Linked DNA regions of Arabidopsis thaliana. The protein of the gene in region 1 interacts with the protein of each later gene in a biochemical or structural test. Each region holds a gene or a part of one and is shown on either strand. Other genes may lie near its edges.

What was found.
Region 2: the proteins of RKP (region 1) and KRP2 form a complex in vitro, tested with the Arabidopsis thaliana proteins (one study listed by BioGRID).
Region 3: the proteins of RKP (region 1) and KRP6 form a complex in vitro, tested with the Arabidopsis thaliana proteins (one study listed by BioGRID).

Annotation. Positions count from the first base shown.
Region 1 is NC_003071.7:9,363,462-9,371,156, forward strand, and holds the start of RKP (uncharacterized protein), read right to left. Parts: upstream 6,001-7,695; 5' UTR 5,662-6,000; intron 5,483-5,661; 5' UTR 5,368-5,482; coding exon 3,883-5,367; intron 3,772-3,882; coding exon 2,965-3,771; intron 2,853-2,964; coding exon 2,692-2,852; intron 2,562-2,691; coding exon 2,423-2,561; intron 2,253-2,422; coding exon 2,169-2,252; intron 2,060-2,168; coding exon 1,778-2,059; intron 1,700-1,777; coding exon 1,568-1,699; intron 1,405-1,567; coding exon 1,205-1,404; intron 1,121-1,204; coding exon 907-1,120; intron 833-906; coding exon 485-832; 3' UTR 1-484. UniProt on the Arabidopsis thaliana protein: E3 ubiquitin-protein ligase that promotes the ubiquitination and proteasomal degradation of KRP1 and KRP2.
Region 2 is NC_003074.8:18,798,577-18,802,144, forward strand, and holds KRP2 (KIP-related protein 2), read left to right. Parts: upstream 1-1,729; 5' UTR 1,730-1,931; coding exon 1,932-2,258; intron 2,259-2,334; coding exon 2,335-2,396; intron 2,397-2,480; coding exon 2,481-2,648; coding exon of another isoform or gene 2,649-2,652; exon of another isoform or gene 2,653-2,717; coding exon 2,718-2,790; 3' UTR 2,791-3,019; downstream 3,020-3,568. UniProt on the Arabidopsis thaliana protein: Binds and inhibits CYCD2-1/CDKA-1 complex kinase activity. Regulates cell division which is crucial for plant growth, development and morphogenesis. May regulate early lateral root initiation by blocking the G1/S phase transition.
Region 3 is NC_003074.8:6,615,781-6,619,655, reverse strand, and holds KRP6 (KIP-related protein 6), read left to right. Parts: upstream 1-1,704; 5' UTR 1,705-2,000; coding exon 2,001-2,294; intron 2,295-2,397; coding exon 2,398-2,453; coding exon of another isoform or gene 2,454-2,545; coding exon 2,546-2,722; coding exon of another isoform or gene 2,723-2,726; exon of another isoform or gene 2,727-2,964; coding exon 2,965-3,028; 3' UTR 3,029-3,326; downstream 3,327-3,875. UniProt on the Arabidopsis thaliana protein: Binds and inhibits CYCD2-1/CDKA-1 complex kinase activity. Regulates cell division which is crucial for plant growth, development and morphogenesis. May inhibit CDK kinases specifically involved in the G1/S phase transition.

The sequences.
Region 1 (7,695 bases):
AAACATACATTATGCAAAGAAATTTGAGAAAATTAAATAAAATACAACAAATAAAACTTATTGAACCAAAATTTTATCAGATTTTTTTAGTTTAATGAGATCCTATAAATTTGGATTTTGAGAGTATTAAGTGAACAAAAAAACAAGTGTAAGTGAACCTAATTACGAACCGGGTAACCGATTTACTGGTTTAACCCACCAAATCCGCTGTAATTCCAAAACACACTGTTGAGAAAAGTAAGAACCCAAGCGAAACAGAGAGCCTTTAAATAATTTCCATTTCATTCTCATATATACAAGAAAAAAGAGAGGCCTAGAGATCACAAGACCAGGTCTACAAAATTATCACAGACCTTTGTTTGTTTGTGTTTTTTCTTATTTATCCTATAAATCTATATAATCCTTCTTCCTTTGCTCCCATCCTAAAGATCTTTCCTTCTGTGTCTACTACATCAACAACCTGTAACCGCAACTAACCCGAGCTTCATGTGCTTCTTTTGTGACCATCATCGTCTTCTTCTTCTTCTTCTTCTTTATCTCTTATAACATCTATCACCGTAGCATTGCAGAAAAAACATCTCTGACAGTTGAGAAGATGTCTAGTTATGCAGCCATAACATGATCGATGTGAACACGGAGCAATCATTGCATTAGCCTCCCCCGCGTAGCAGATACAGCAAGTGTTGTCTTCTATATCTGTCGTGTCTTTGTTGAATGACTCTTCTTTTCTTTCGGGTTCTTGCGATGAAGCCCGGTTTATGAGATGGCTCAAGAAGTTCTCAAGCTGTCCAAGTTTCTTTACATAGGCATCATCCCCGCTTACACAACCGTCCTGAAAATGTTTTTGAAAAGCTGTGTCAGTAGGAGAAGCAAACGAGCAGAAACTAGATTTAAGAGCTTACGTACCCAATTATATTCCAAGAGATACTGAAACCCGTAATAGACTGTATCGGGACAGTCCATGCTTGCGAAAAGACCAATTACATCATGTTGTTGCTTTGGTTTTGAGTCTTCACTAGCCTCCAAGAGATTCAAGATTATACCAACCAAAGGAGCTAATAAGATCCCTCGGCTAACTTTCTCTGAAGGTTGTCCCTGCCGTCTAAGTGACCTGACAGATCTCAAAACAAGAAGAAAACAATATCAATTAAAAATTAGCGATTTCCAACAAAGTTAGAGCTATTTGGGATATTTTTGAACTTACAGATCAAAGAACTCGTCATCTACTGCTGAGGTCATGTGATTCAAGATGAAAAGAATCAACTCAGTGAGCCTACGAAGATTCGTGTCAGTCCCAGCAAGAAATGCTTGTGGCATTGCGTAAGTGCAGAATTCTAAGACCCTTGCGAGATTGCTTGAAAGCTCAAATATCACACAACATTTCCTTTGCTGAAACTCCATTACCTGCATAAAGACAAGACGAATCAAAAACCGGACAAAGAAGCAAATAGAGTACTACAAAAACTTGTAAGGGAAATGCAGAATAAGAACCACAATCATTCAGGGAAAACTATTCAATTACTACGAAAACTTAATCGATGAAAATGATCCAAGCTTATAATCTGACCTGATACTTTTCTTGCATTTCTCGCACCGAGACAGAAAATTCAGTGATGGTCCAGCTCAGTGTGTTGAATAGACGGTTAAGAAAAGTAGAAAGTAATTCACCATCATTGATACAAGCATCTCGTAGAAGCGCCTAGACGAAAAAGAAAATCAAAATCCAATATGTAGACTGAGGATCAGATAGGAACAAAGTCAAATCAATCTAACCAACCTGGAAAACAGTAGACGAAAACGAAGACTCTCCGTTCTTTAAAGAACTAAACCCAGAACCTTTGCAAAGACGAAGAAATATATTTGTGACAGGGATCCAAGATCTGTTGTCAAACGCTGCCAGTAGTGCTGCAGGCATGTGTCGAGTAGCTGCCTCATTGTTCTCGAAAGCTTCCAAGTACTCTTTGTACTGTACCAGGACGGATATTGACTGGAGAAGTAGATCTTTAAGATCTGTATTCGATATCCTTGAATCGTTGAAGTGTGTAACTACGAAAGTGATCTGGAAACCCAAGAATTTGCAATGACCATGTTAGAGCTAATCAACTAACAGTCAGCCATGAGGAAAAATAACAGACAAAAAAGATTGTGTGATAAGAGTTTAGGCATACAAATGATGAAAGTCCTTGTTTGATGAATGTTGTTGATGGGACAAACGGAGGATCGCTCTTGCGAAGCACATGGAAACAGTCTACCTGAGGAAATAATCAAAGAGATTGTAAACTTAGGGATTTCATTGAGAAACAGAGAAAACGCAACAGAATAAGTTGTTGGAAGATCTACTAACTTTGATCAAAGAGAAACTGAAACATGTTCATTTGACATTTATATCAAGAAGTACCAGAAATGTGCAAAAGCTGTTTACCAAAGATTCAAGGTAGAACTCTGGAATATAAACAAACACAGAATCCATTTTGCTGAGAACCAGAAGTAGCTGTACAACCCACATGCACAATGCATACATTCCCCTTTGCTTCCATCGAGAGAACAATGAGATGCGGAACCTGACAAAATGATTCAGAATGAGGGCAAAAATATAGATTGTAATGTTGCCTCACATGAATCATAACTGAAACCTCTTCACTACACCCTCCTTCTGGAGTTAACGCAATCCATGAGTTAAGTGAAACTTACCATGCGGAATGTCTAACACAGTCCATCACGTCTTCTTTGTAGTTGTTGCGAGCTTCCTTCAAGCGCTTTATTTGGTCACAAGAAGCCCGTTCTCTTATCTGTTTATCAGTTTCTTCAAGAAGTGATATTGATTGCGATTGGTGAGACATGTAATATGATGCCTAAGAAAAGCAGAAAGAGAACCTATCAGCCTCTCAAGCTTATTCAGGTTGTGGTATGTATCGTACAAAAAATACAACAAAATCTAATTAAGACGGGAATAATTAAAATTACCTGCTTAAAATTTGGAGCAACAGCAATATGGTATAATAGCAATAGAGCATCCAATAGTTCTTCTTCGCTTAGTATAGCAGATGAGATTCTACTCTCTTGAAGTGCAGTCCGCATAAATCTTACTGGACGATAACCAAAGTCAGGGTCAGACTGATTACTTGTGCTAGGTTTGTCGTCTATTTCTTCACTGAAACTTCCAGCACTACATTCTGCAGCAACATGAGAGGATCTCTCAGGAATGGAACTGCATCGACCACGAGAACTTTGAGCAGTATTTTTTCCTCGATCCTTCAAGGATTTAGTAAGATCGGTATCATAAGCTAAGCAACAGCATGGCTTTTGCTCAGTCGCGTGAGTTACTCTATTCTGTTCATCATCCATACAACCTTCTTCCCACCGCATTATTTCTTCTTCTTGATCATCTGTGGGGTAGGACTTCGATATATGACTAAATAGCCCGCCAAGCCTAGTAATATCAGCGCGATGTGGATCATTTTTAAGAAACAAACTCAATGGAAACTTCTGCTGACCACCTCTGTGAAGAAAACCAACATTGTGATGGACGGCTTCACTACTCTTCAGCATTGCAAAACCTTCTGACAAGAAGTGGAGTATAACTGAGAACAAAGAGACAAGAACCGAATTGCGTGTAACTCCAGAAGGGGCCAGAGTCCTATCTGCGCCTCTGTTCTTCAATAAAAGGTTCTGTAGGAATCCCCTGAAAGCTGAACCAGGAAGCTGGGGAGGTGATACAGGTGGTATGAATTGTATGACCAAGAGACAGAGGTTCCTCTGCTTCTCCTCAATCTGAATTCCAAGAGAAAGAATTACTTAATTATGTTCCTCAGATTCCAGAGGAGACTTATGCCAGCGGTTATTTATAGAAAAATAAAATAAGTCAGAAATAACCTATCATACCTTGTTAATGGCTTCAGAGAGAGCGGAGATCGTAAATCCCATGCTACTCTCGTAGGATATATCTTCAGAGGATCCAGGCCACCAAACAACAGGCATTAAGTGCTGTAAGTCATGCTTGTTGGAACTCCTGCATGACAAGAAACCTTCAAACAAAAACTCGAAATGCAAAGATCTCCACCATTGTACCATCAATTCTTCCCGTTTAAACAAATGACAAGCCAGCGCCAGATAGGGATAAGGTCCGGAGTATGGACACTCGGTTAAAATCAGTGTCGCTGTTTTGCAGCCACAAGCCAGAGCGTTTACTACATGCTCAAAGATCAAATGAGATTGTGGGAACTCAAGAAACACATCAAGAACTTTGTCTAAACTTGACGAATCATGCGGTGCTTGAGTTCTGAAAGTCTCCAAGAGGAATGACAGAAATGCACCCCGTCCTAAGTACTCCGCCAACAAAGGGTCTTGCTCAAGTATATAAAAGAACTCATCACATATGGCAGACGAAACAGGGCAAAAGAGTTCTTCGACTGAGGCAAATCTCCTCAGTCGACTTAATGTATCAGCCAATGAGCGGTCTGGCCTATCCAGCAGTCTTGAGAAGCATCGTAGTAGCTCTGTTGCAAATGAAAATCGAGTTGGAGCTTCTTGAAGAGGTTGGAAACCGTCAACAGGGTACTTAAACGGGTAAGCGCCGAAATTTAACTCGCATCTCTCACCTTGGGAGAGAGATATAGCAGGGTAATACCCAAATCCAGGTCCAAGTTTTCTAATACCAGTAAATGCAGCCCCGAGGGAGACACCATTCCTGTAGAAGTAAATCTCATCACAGTTCAAATCTATGCAGCAACCGATGACATCCCCAGCAACCCATGATTGACCATAAGGTTCAGCTTCCTTGTTCCATTTGCTTACCCTTCGACCATCAAAAGCATATGAATCATCAGCATCACCCACACCTTTCTGGTCAGTGAAAGGGCAAGCAAGTGTTGCCCATCCAAGTTGTTGAATTCCCGAGGTCTCTAAAGCGACTTCATACATCCATTTTCCTTTCCAAATACAAGCATTAGCCCTGGCGCTACTGAAAAGTGCTAAGCTCTCCAATACAAGAGGTGGCTTCACAATCCTGATATCACCACATATGCTAAACTCTTCAAGGCCAACAATAGGAGGTCCAACACCATGATGAACTACACTGATTCCTTCTCTCTGACTAACTGAAACATCCAAATCACCATGAAGCTTCGAGAACTGATTCTTAATCACAGCTCTAATCAAGCTACTGTCTACTTGACCATCCAATGGACCAACCGACTTTTCTGCTAAACCAAATATGAATTCGATAGTCCGTTCTAAAGGCCGGTGACCAGAATAATCAAAATGTGGAACAATACGAGCTTTCGAGGAATTTTCTTTAGCATCTTCACCATTCAGTAAAACAGCCAAACCAGATGAAATCATACCAACCCGTAGGCTGTCTTCAGCCATATGGCATTGATTGTGAACCAAACGCGCTTTCAACACAACCAATTACAAGAGAACCAAAGTCTGTATCTATTCAACGAGACCTCATCAGAGACAATTCGAAAATGATTCAGAAAAGCTGTGAAGAGAAGAAGAACAAAAAAAAAAGTAGCATAAGTTTCCAAAAATCAATACTTGAATCAAAAAGCTTTCAAATTTATGTGATGAACAGGGATTAACAAAAAGAGAAAGCTATTCAATTTCAATCAATTAGAAAGAAAAAAACACCAAAATCAGAACGGAAAATTCGAAACTCACCGGAGAAATTGACATGAAAAGCGATTAACCCAGAAGCCAAAATCAATCAATACCCAGATTCTTCAAACCAAAGACGGCGGACTTGTGCTAGGGTTTTTCAAATAAATTAAACAGGAGAAGACTTTTCGCTTCTTTTTTTTTCTTCTTCTTCCTCGAAGAGAGAGAGAGAGAGAGATTTTGCGCCCAATATTTTTGGGGGAACAGAGAAGAAGAATTGAAGAAAGAGAGAGAGAGGAATCAGAAGACCGGTGGCTAACACCGAACGAGCCAATGGATCATGTGGCGTGTGGGTTTTTTACCGACACGTGTCGGTGTCGATGACGTGGCTGATGACGTATTATATCGACGGTCTGGTCTGGTAACTTTTATAGAAGGAGAAGGAGGAAAGTTTACGATGCGGACGGTCTTACGTTTATTTTGACACGTGGCGTAGTAGATGTTAACGTGTTCTTAAATCAAATTACAAAATTACAAAAAGTAAACAACGCTTTTTAATTTTTCTCCTTCTGTTTTCTTTTTTAGTGTTAACATTATGAGATTTGTTTTACTGAAGATATTTCCTGTTATTTGGATTAATCAAAAATAACAAAAAAAAAGGTGCTGTAAAACTTAGCAATTTAAAGGTAAAGTTAAAAGAATGTTAGTATCACCACTAACTAAAGAAAAAATCACAAAAATAATATGGTATTGTTTGAATATTCTTTTTTTTTTCATTTTAGTGTTAGTATTATGAGATTTTCGTGTAAAATTTTTGCTAAAAACATTGTTAAAAAAAATTAGTTTTGTTTATCGCTTTTAAATAGTTATTATTTTTAGTTTAAAAAAAAAAAATATTATTGTTTATTATCAAAGATGATTTGGTTTCGACTACCCGTGAAATTTTCGAATGTGATTACAGTTGTCGAATAGCGTATTTACTGTATTTTATTTAAGTGGATCTAAAATATGATATAATTATGATTAATCTAAAAAGAAATGTAAATTTAAGTTATATATCACTTTTGTAAATAATTTCTCTCGGAATTATTTTTTTTAAGTCCTTAATAATATCTTATGACAAAAAAAAAAATATGAATCTAGTTATCAGGTTTCCTTGGTAAAGAAAAATTTAGATGTAAGTTTCCTATTTGTAGATTCTATAATCATAACGGGTTTCACAAACAATTATAATACTGGTATCATTCGTTGACAAGAACTAATAATAATCTGGAGTTGACTTAATTAGAAAACTTTATTTGTAAATCAATTGTCAAAAGCCATTCGTATATTCTTAATACATTATGCAAATTAAAGAAGAGTGTTACTATAATGTATGCACGAAAACTATTCAAGTGGATGTAAAGACGATTGAAATCGACGGAACGTGACGGAGCAGTTGTTGACAAGTCACCGGAGCTTTTGCAAACTTCCGATAGACACACGACCTTGTCAACGACCTGAGAGTATAAATAATTGAAAATATCAACTCGATCTCTAAACACACCACGTGGAAAGCTATGAGACCACTGTCGGCTAATGACTAATAAAAGAAGTATCGTGCACGTGTTCCACGTTGATCAACAGCCACTTCACTGGCTGATGTCTCTGTTATTCAGATAGTGACTTAAGACGGCATTATATTGTCTTCAAGGGAAATATTAAAACGCTGCGTTTCCGTGTGATGGAATAATTTTGCAACCGTTGCCACTTTTACTTTTGGGAATTTGGTTGAACAGCAACTTGTTTTTTTTTTTTTGGTAAATATTTTTGGTTGAACTTGTCATTCAATGTAGCAAAACTTAGTAAAAATGCTACAAAACATAAAGATTTTCAAATGTGCCAAACCTCAGCTCTATGGACGATTTCCCTGTTCTAACTATACTAAAATGCATAGTTTTGGTGTAGTGATTAACAAAAATATGTATGGAATATAATCATGATGATAATGATAATGGTAAGATTATGCTTTTACTTTTGATTAAAAGCTAGTGATATGATTTGCCTCTTAATTTGAGTAGATGATTTTCAATGTTTGGTACTATTTTCATTGTTTTA
Region 2 (3,568 bases), on another chromosome or scaffold:
AAATTATCCTTCAAAACGAATATCAATATGTATTCATTGAGAGATTTTAAAACTTAGGGATTCATTTGTTGGTACTAGCGTTTAAGTTTTCATAATTAAGAACTACGGATGTATACATAGATATATGATAATTTTATTTTCGTAGTAATTGTTATGATAATCTTTGTTCTTTTGAAGTCAACAACATATATTATGCGAATTTTTAAACTACATTATATGTTTAGCTCACTATTTTATTTTGAATATCTCATAAGTATGTATATATACTTACACATTGTTATAGTGAGTGTAAAAAAGAGAGAGACAGTTTAGTAATGATTGAGTATGCAGCTCGTGGGCACATTATTAAATTGAATGGTATGATGGATATGCGCAGACACTGTCTTGTGTGAACTCAAGAATCGATACAGAACGACGGCATTAAAAAAAAAGAAAAAATTCAATATAAGACGAAAATGATGATGGAAAAAAATTCTTTTATTTTTACCAACGAAATGTATGCGATATGAACTAGTAGTATTTAATTCACTGTGTGAATTAGTAGTAATATTTAAGCATGTGAATATGTTTGTGTACGTATTGTATTGCCACAACAAAACAGCATGTCGCAGCATTGATTTCATTATCACCTAACCGTTAAATACGTCATGGCCCTAGACTTAATGTATTTTAGACTTAATGTATTTTATACCTTATTTTGATATGTGTACGGTCGACCCCCTCACAAAATTGAAATATTACGACTATGCATTGAAAAACTATACACAACTACATTGTCAAATACTGATAAGATCTTAACACAGAAACACATATTATCACTAATAATGTAACGTGACAACATTACATTGCTTTACACACATTTTTTTTAATCTATTTAAGATGATTGGATGATATTGTCATTTTTCTCTATAAATCTAAGATTTTTATTGTCTTTATAATCTAAATTCGCAATTATTACAACAAAAAATTATCAAATCTAAATTTATTTTTAAAATCCACGATAATTATTCTCATTCTATTTCATTGGAAACACCAACCAATTATTTTAAAAAACAGAAAACATATTAATTAAAAAATTGAATTCAAATTCTATTTACCATTCTAAAAAAAAAATTATGCACTGATTCTGTAAACGTTGACACCGTTAACGTAGTCGTAGATATGCACTGATTCTGTAAACGTTGACACCGTTAATGTAATCACATCGAATAAAAGACATATGTTGATCGTGTAAAGGTATAAGATACTCGATCTATAACATCGTTGTCAAATTCCATGTTGCATATACATTATATTGCTTTACACACATTTTTTTATCTATTTGATCGTCTGTGAATTAATATGATAATTTGATGGTATTATTGTTATCTTTATAATATAAATTCGTAATTATTATAACAAAAAATAAACAGTTTTATCTTAATATCCACAATAATTATTTTCATTCTCGTTGATTTATTGGAAAAGCCAGCCAATTATATTAAAATAAATAAAAACAACATATTAATTCAAAAAAATTTGAATTCAAAAAAATTTATCATTCTAAAGTAACTAGATATGCACTAATTGCACTGATTTTGTAAACTTTGAAACTATTAATGTAATCGTAACGAATAAAAGACACGTATCAATCGTGTAAGGTATAAAATACTCGATTTTTAACGGCGCCGTCAAATTCTCCGTTACATATTAAAAGAATTACTATTCCTACTTCACACGAGGCTTTATATGAAAATGACAAGAGTTAATCGTGGCCGTTAACAAATTACGATCAAAACGAAGATCGTCACCATCTTATAACAGAATAACCCAAATGGTACGCGAGCTAGAGACTCTCTAGTAGAGAGAAAGAGAGAGAAACACAAACACGCACACATAACGAGTGATTTTAGAGAGAGATAGAGATCTGGAAGGTGACGTCGTAGGAGATTATGGCGGCGGTTAGGAGAAGAGAACGAGATGTGGTTGAAGAGAATGGAGTTACGACGACGACGGTGAAACGAAGGAAGATGGAGGAGGAAGTGGATTTAGTGGAATCTAGGATAATTCTGTCTCCGTGTGTACAGGCGACGAATCGCGGTGGAATTGTGGCGAGAAATTCAGCAGGAGCGTCGGAGACGAGTGTTGTTATAGTACGACGGCGAGATTCTCCTCCGGTTGAAGAACAGTGTCAAATCGAAGAAGAAGATTCGTCGGTTTCGTGTTGTTCTACATCGGAAGAGAAATCGAAACGGAGAATCGAATTTGTAGATCTTGAGGTGACAACGAAAGCATTATTTATCGAAACTGAATTTTGATTTACAGATTTTGAAATTTTTGAATTCGTTTTTCCAGGAAAATAACGGTGACGATCGTGAAACAGAAACGTCGTGGATTTACGATGATTTGAATAAGAGGTTTGTTTAATTTGTTACAGATATTAAAATTTTGAATCAGTAACAAACATTTCTATAAAATGTCTTTGATTTTTTTGTGTATAGTGAGGAATCGATGAACATGGATTCTTCTTCGGTGGCTGTTGAAGATGTAGAGTCTCGCCGCAGGTTAAGGAAGAGTCTCCATGAGACGGTGAAGGAAGCTGAGTTAGAAGACTTTTTTCAGGTGGCGGAGAAAGATCTTCGGAATAAGTTGTTGGAATGTTCTATGAAGTAAGTTTTTTTTTTTTGATTCAAATCTTTTAATCGAATTTTTGAAACTGATAATGAATTTGTTGTTAGGTATAACTTCGATTTCGAGAAAGATGAGCCACTTGGTGGAGGAAGATACGAGTGGGTTAAATTGAATCCATGAAGAAGACGATGATGATAATGATGATCATTGTTTTCACCAAAGTACTTATTATTTCTCTTCTGTAATAATCTTTGCTTTGATTTTTCTTTTAACAAAATCCAAATGTAGATATCTTTCTCTCGAATAATCAATAACATGTAATTCAACTTTTGTTTGTACTTCCTTGAGGTAATTAATTAGATTCGTGTTTTTCTCGATTAATAAACTATAAGTTTATAACTCTAAGAGTAATTATAATTGTTACTGAAAACTAAATAGCTTCTATTATTTCTATGTATCAATTATCATACAGTATTTGATTTTTTTTTTTTAACAATGAAAAGAGAGTGTAGAGCAGAACAAAAAAGGGTCACGGCTGACGTGGTAAAGGAATATAACTGTTTATTGATCAGGCTTTTTCAGTAAAAAAGTTACTATTTTATTCTCACTTGGATTGGATTGTAGGTGCTACTCTAGTGATTAACTACGAACTTGTTTGTGCTTTACAAGTTATTAAACTAAAATATTGTACTATCTCCTTGCATTTTACAAATTTAGCTATTTGAAATTATATATTTTTTAAAAATAAAATAGCTTAAATATACACTTCCAGTTTTTCCCTCTCAATTTCTTTCAACAAAGTAACTATTTTGAGTTGTATTATTTTATTTTCCTAATTTATCTATCTAATATAACATGGATATTAGATATGGTTGGTGTACCTAACGCCTATAATTTATACTCGATTAGCAACAACCAAAAAAAAGAAGAAGAAGAAGAAGAAGTTGAGTCATTTAAA
Region 3 (3,875 bases), on another chromosome or scaffold:
CATACAAATTAATAGTAGGAAGTGACATAGAAACTATCTTAACATACAAAATCAACTTATCTTTACATTTTTCTAACTAGCTAATCAACAATGTAACAAAAAAATATTTGATTATTGATTGATAGTGTTATTATATATTCATACAAATGAGAAAAGATTTGAAATGATAGGCGAAATTTTTATTGAAAAGTTCTATCAATTTTTTTAAAAGTTTAGGACGACCCTATTCAGGACTATATATGATCATATGGATTACAATGGTCACTGAATAAATTATTTTGAATTATATCATTCCCTCTTGATTTGTCTTAATAATTCCTAAATAAATGCCTAGGTCAGCGAATTCGTTGTTGCATCAGTCACTTAATTATTACTCGATGATTCCTTTTATTACTAAAATTTATTGAAAATGGTCCCATTTATTGGAAGAATAAAGAAGTAGTTACACTAAAATTTAATTATAGTATATGCTTAAATTTGTAAACCGTTCTGGCCATTTTGTATATATATATACATATATGGGCTCTTTAAGACGAGAATTGAGTTTAGTTGTTTACAATTGGTTTTAACTGTACGGACAGTTTAGTTGAGCTTTAATGGCTCATTCTCTATGGTGCTATATTATGGTTTTAACACATGTACATTATTTCATAATACATATGTCATTAAAATGACATAGAGGACAAAATCTGTTGTTGATGTGTATCTGATCAGTGGAAGAAACTTACACATGCATGGAAACTTTCAAAAAGACAACTAAGCATAAACAAGAGATTAATTAGACTTAAGCTGAGTTAGTCTCTATATGACATAATTGATGTTTCTACTAAGCAAACCCCAAACTGTTATTCCCTTTCCAGATTCAAGCATTATTTGATTCGTCATTGATTTCATGGTCTTGGTGATGATACGAACCAAAAAGTTGTATAATTGGTTTATAAGATGTAGGTTCTTACAAAATTGACTATGTAACAAAATTATAGTATTGTTTTAAACGTAAATTAACGAGGCGCTTCTAGACATGTTCCGACAAACATATATAATAGTACAGATGATTTTATAGAATGTAGTTAATCGATGTATCTTCTGCTATAGGTATCTCTAATTTATTGTTCCGACCACCACAATTCTTTTCTAAGTATTTTATAAATTGGTTAACCATGTATCTTCTGTTGTGTAATTATAGCTAGTATCTTCATTTGAAATATTGTAAGGAATAGTTTGTCTAATTGCTTATGATATTTGACCATCTAAGTAAGTTTATGAACTAATTGTTTTTCAAAAAAGGTTGATTAACCTTAATTACGTGATAGTTTTAACATTAAAAGATTTCAACACTATGTTCTGGATGTTAACATATCCATCTCAAAACCATGATAAAACGCGTACAATGGAAGGGATCAAGCTAATTTGACAAATCTCTATTCACACCTCAACCATTCATATATATACCCTCGATATATGTCACATCATTGGTTTTAGCTTTTAATTGATTCTCATAAAATATAAAACCCAATTACGAGAAAAGACTTGTTCGATGGTTCTCATAGACCCTGACCAAATAAGACTTGTTCCTAAACAAATCGAATTAAATAGAGTTGTGGTTTACTCATACTTTAAATCGTTTTAAGAAAAAATAATGACTACTGTTACGTTGCTACTACGTCATAACTACCGAAAATGATTGCGTTTTCAATTGCTTTGAAAGGAAGCCAAAAAGGCAAAAACGGCAAAAAGGGAGAGAAAACGCGTTTGGGAATCTCAACGGCGTTTGTGTAAGAAAATAAAAGCGAAACTCCGTAACGGCGCCGTTATATACCATAACCTCCGTCCGCTCACCAAGGAAAATAAAATCTCAACCGTTGAAATAATCAACGGCTCATGATTCATTCTCTCTCCTTCCCCACCAAAATCTCCTCTGCTTTGTTAAGAAGCGAACCAGAAATAGAAAGAAAAAAAAGCAGAGAGAGAGAGCACACAAAAATCCAAGAGAGAAAAAAATGAGCGAGAGAAAGCGAGAGCTTGCAGAAGAAGCTTCAAGCACAAGCTTCTCACCACTGAAGAAAACGAAGCTTAATGATTCTTCTGATTCATCACCGGACTCTCATGACGTCATCGTCTTCGCGGTTTCATCTTCTTCCGTTGCTTCGTCGGCGGCTTTAGCGTCTGATGAATGTTCCGTTACCATCGGTGGAGAAGAAAGTGATCAGTCCTCGAGTATCAGCTCCGGTTGTTTCACCAGTGAATCGAAAGAAATCGCGAAGAACAGTTCGTCGTTTGGTGTAGATCTGGAGGTGAATTTTCAAAATCAAATAACTCCTCTCTACTTGAATCGATTTAATCAGACGATTTTCTCAGTTTTCGTTTTGATTTTTTATTTCCGTTTCTGTGTTTCAGGATCATCAAATCGAAACCGAAACCGAAACCTCAACATTCATCACCAGCAATTTCAGGTTCATAATCTTTTTGTTTCCCCCCCCCCCCAAATTAGACGTTCAATCGATTTTATTCTCCTTGGCGATTTTTTCTCTGTTTTTTATGGCAGAAAAGAGACGAGTCCAGTGAGTGAGGGTTTGGGAGAAACGACAACAGAAATGGAATCATCATCGGCAACGAAGAGAAAACAACCGGGGGTGAGGAAGACTCCAACGGCGGCGGAGATTGAGGATTTGTTCTCGGAGCTAGAGAGTCAAGACGATAAGAAGAAGCAATTCATAGAAAAGTGAGTCCATTTTTACAATTTCATCATCTCTCTCACGTGTGTTCTTGTTGTTGTTGTGTGCGCTTTGCTTTTTGGGGTTTGGGAAAAATTGGAGTGAGTCCGTACCTAGAGAGAGAGAGAGAGGAATGTGAGTAAAAATGTCTGCGTGCGCATGATAAAAAGATTAACCGACGCGTAGTTTAGCAAATATCCTAAAAAGAGAGAGAATCAGAATCCTAACGAACACACACACTTTGGCACAGGTACAACTTCGATATTGTCAATGACGAACCGCTTGAAGGTCGCTACAAGTGGGATCGACTTTAAGCCATCAAAAAGCAAATACCATCCATGAAGAAGACAAAAGAAAAATAGGTTTTGTTTTTCGTGGTTAACATTTCCACTTGTACAGCTCTAGTCTATTTCTCTTTAAAAACCTATGTTACTAGTTCGTACAAAACAAAACAAAAAACACGACCTTTATAATGAAATTTCGGATCTTGGCTACTAATTACGGTGATTTCGTTGGTTTGTTATGTTTCTGTTTTAAAATCAAAAATGGTTTTGGCAGAGTTTTAAGTGCATGAATATAGAAAGGTGCTTCTTGTTTGGATTCTTTTAAAACATTGGATGCTTAATTATTACAATTATTTTATCTTACTCAAAACTATTATTTTTTGTTTGTCTCATGTCATTCTTATTCTTACACTTGCAGTTTATGTTATATTTAAATGTTTCATGTCATATAGTACCCAATTTACAAAAATATCTGAAACCAAAAATTGATGTTTTAAAAAAAAAATTGGAGAAAAGAGGAAAGGTACATGACATGACGGCACAGTAATACAGTTGGTTTGTACTTCTCTAAAAACTGCGATCATACAAAATACAAATATTATATTTTTTCTATTTTTTTCACTAATATTCTTTTATTTTATTTTGGAATATTCCTCTATTTTGGCACTAAACACAGGGTCCACTTAGTTAAAACCATTTTGGCCTTCATTAGATAAAACCAAAAAGCGGCCTATGCGGAGTAGTAATTTATCCTAATGAAGTGTGTTACTGTAACAAAATATCATCAATGAGTGATACTATATAAAAACGATTACATAGGATATATTTACGTGGATTAGCTTTTTGGTAACGCATTAAAAAAGGTTAATCTCATCAT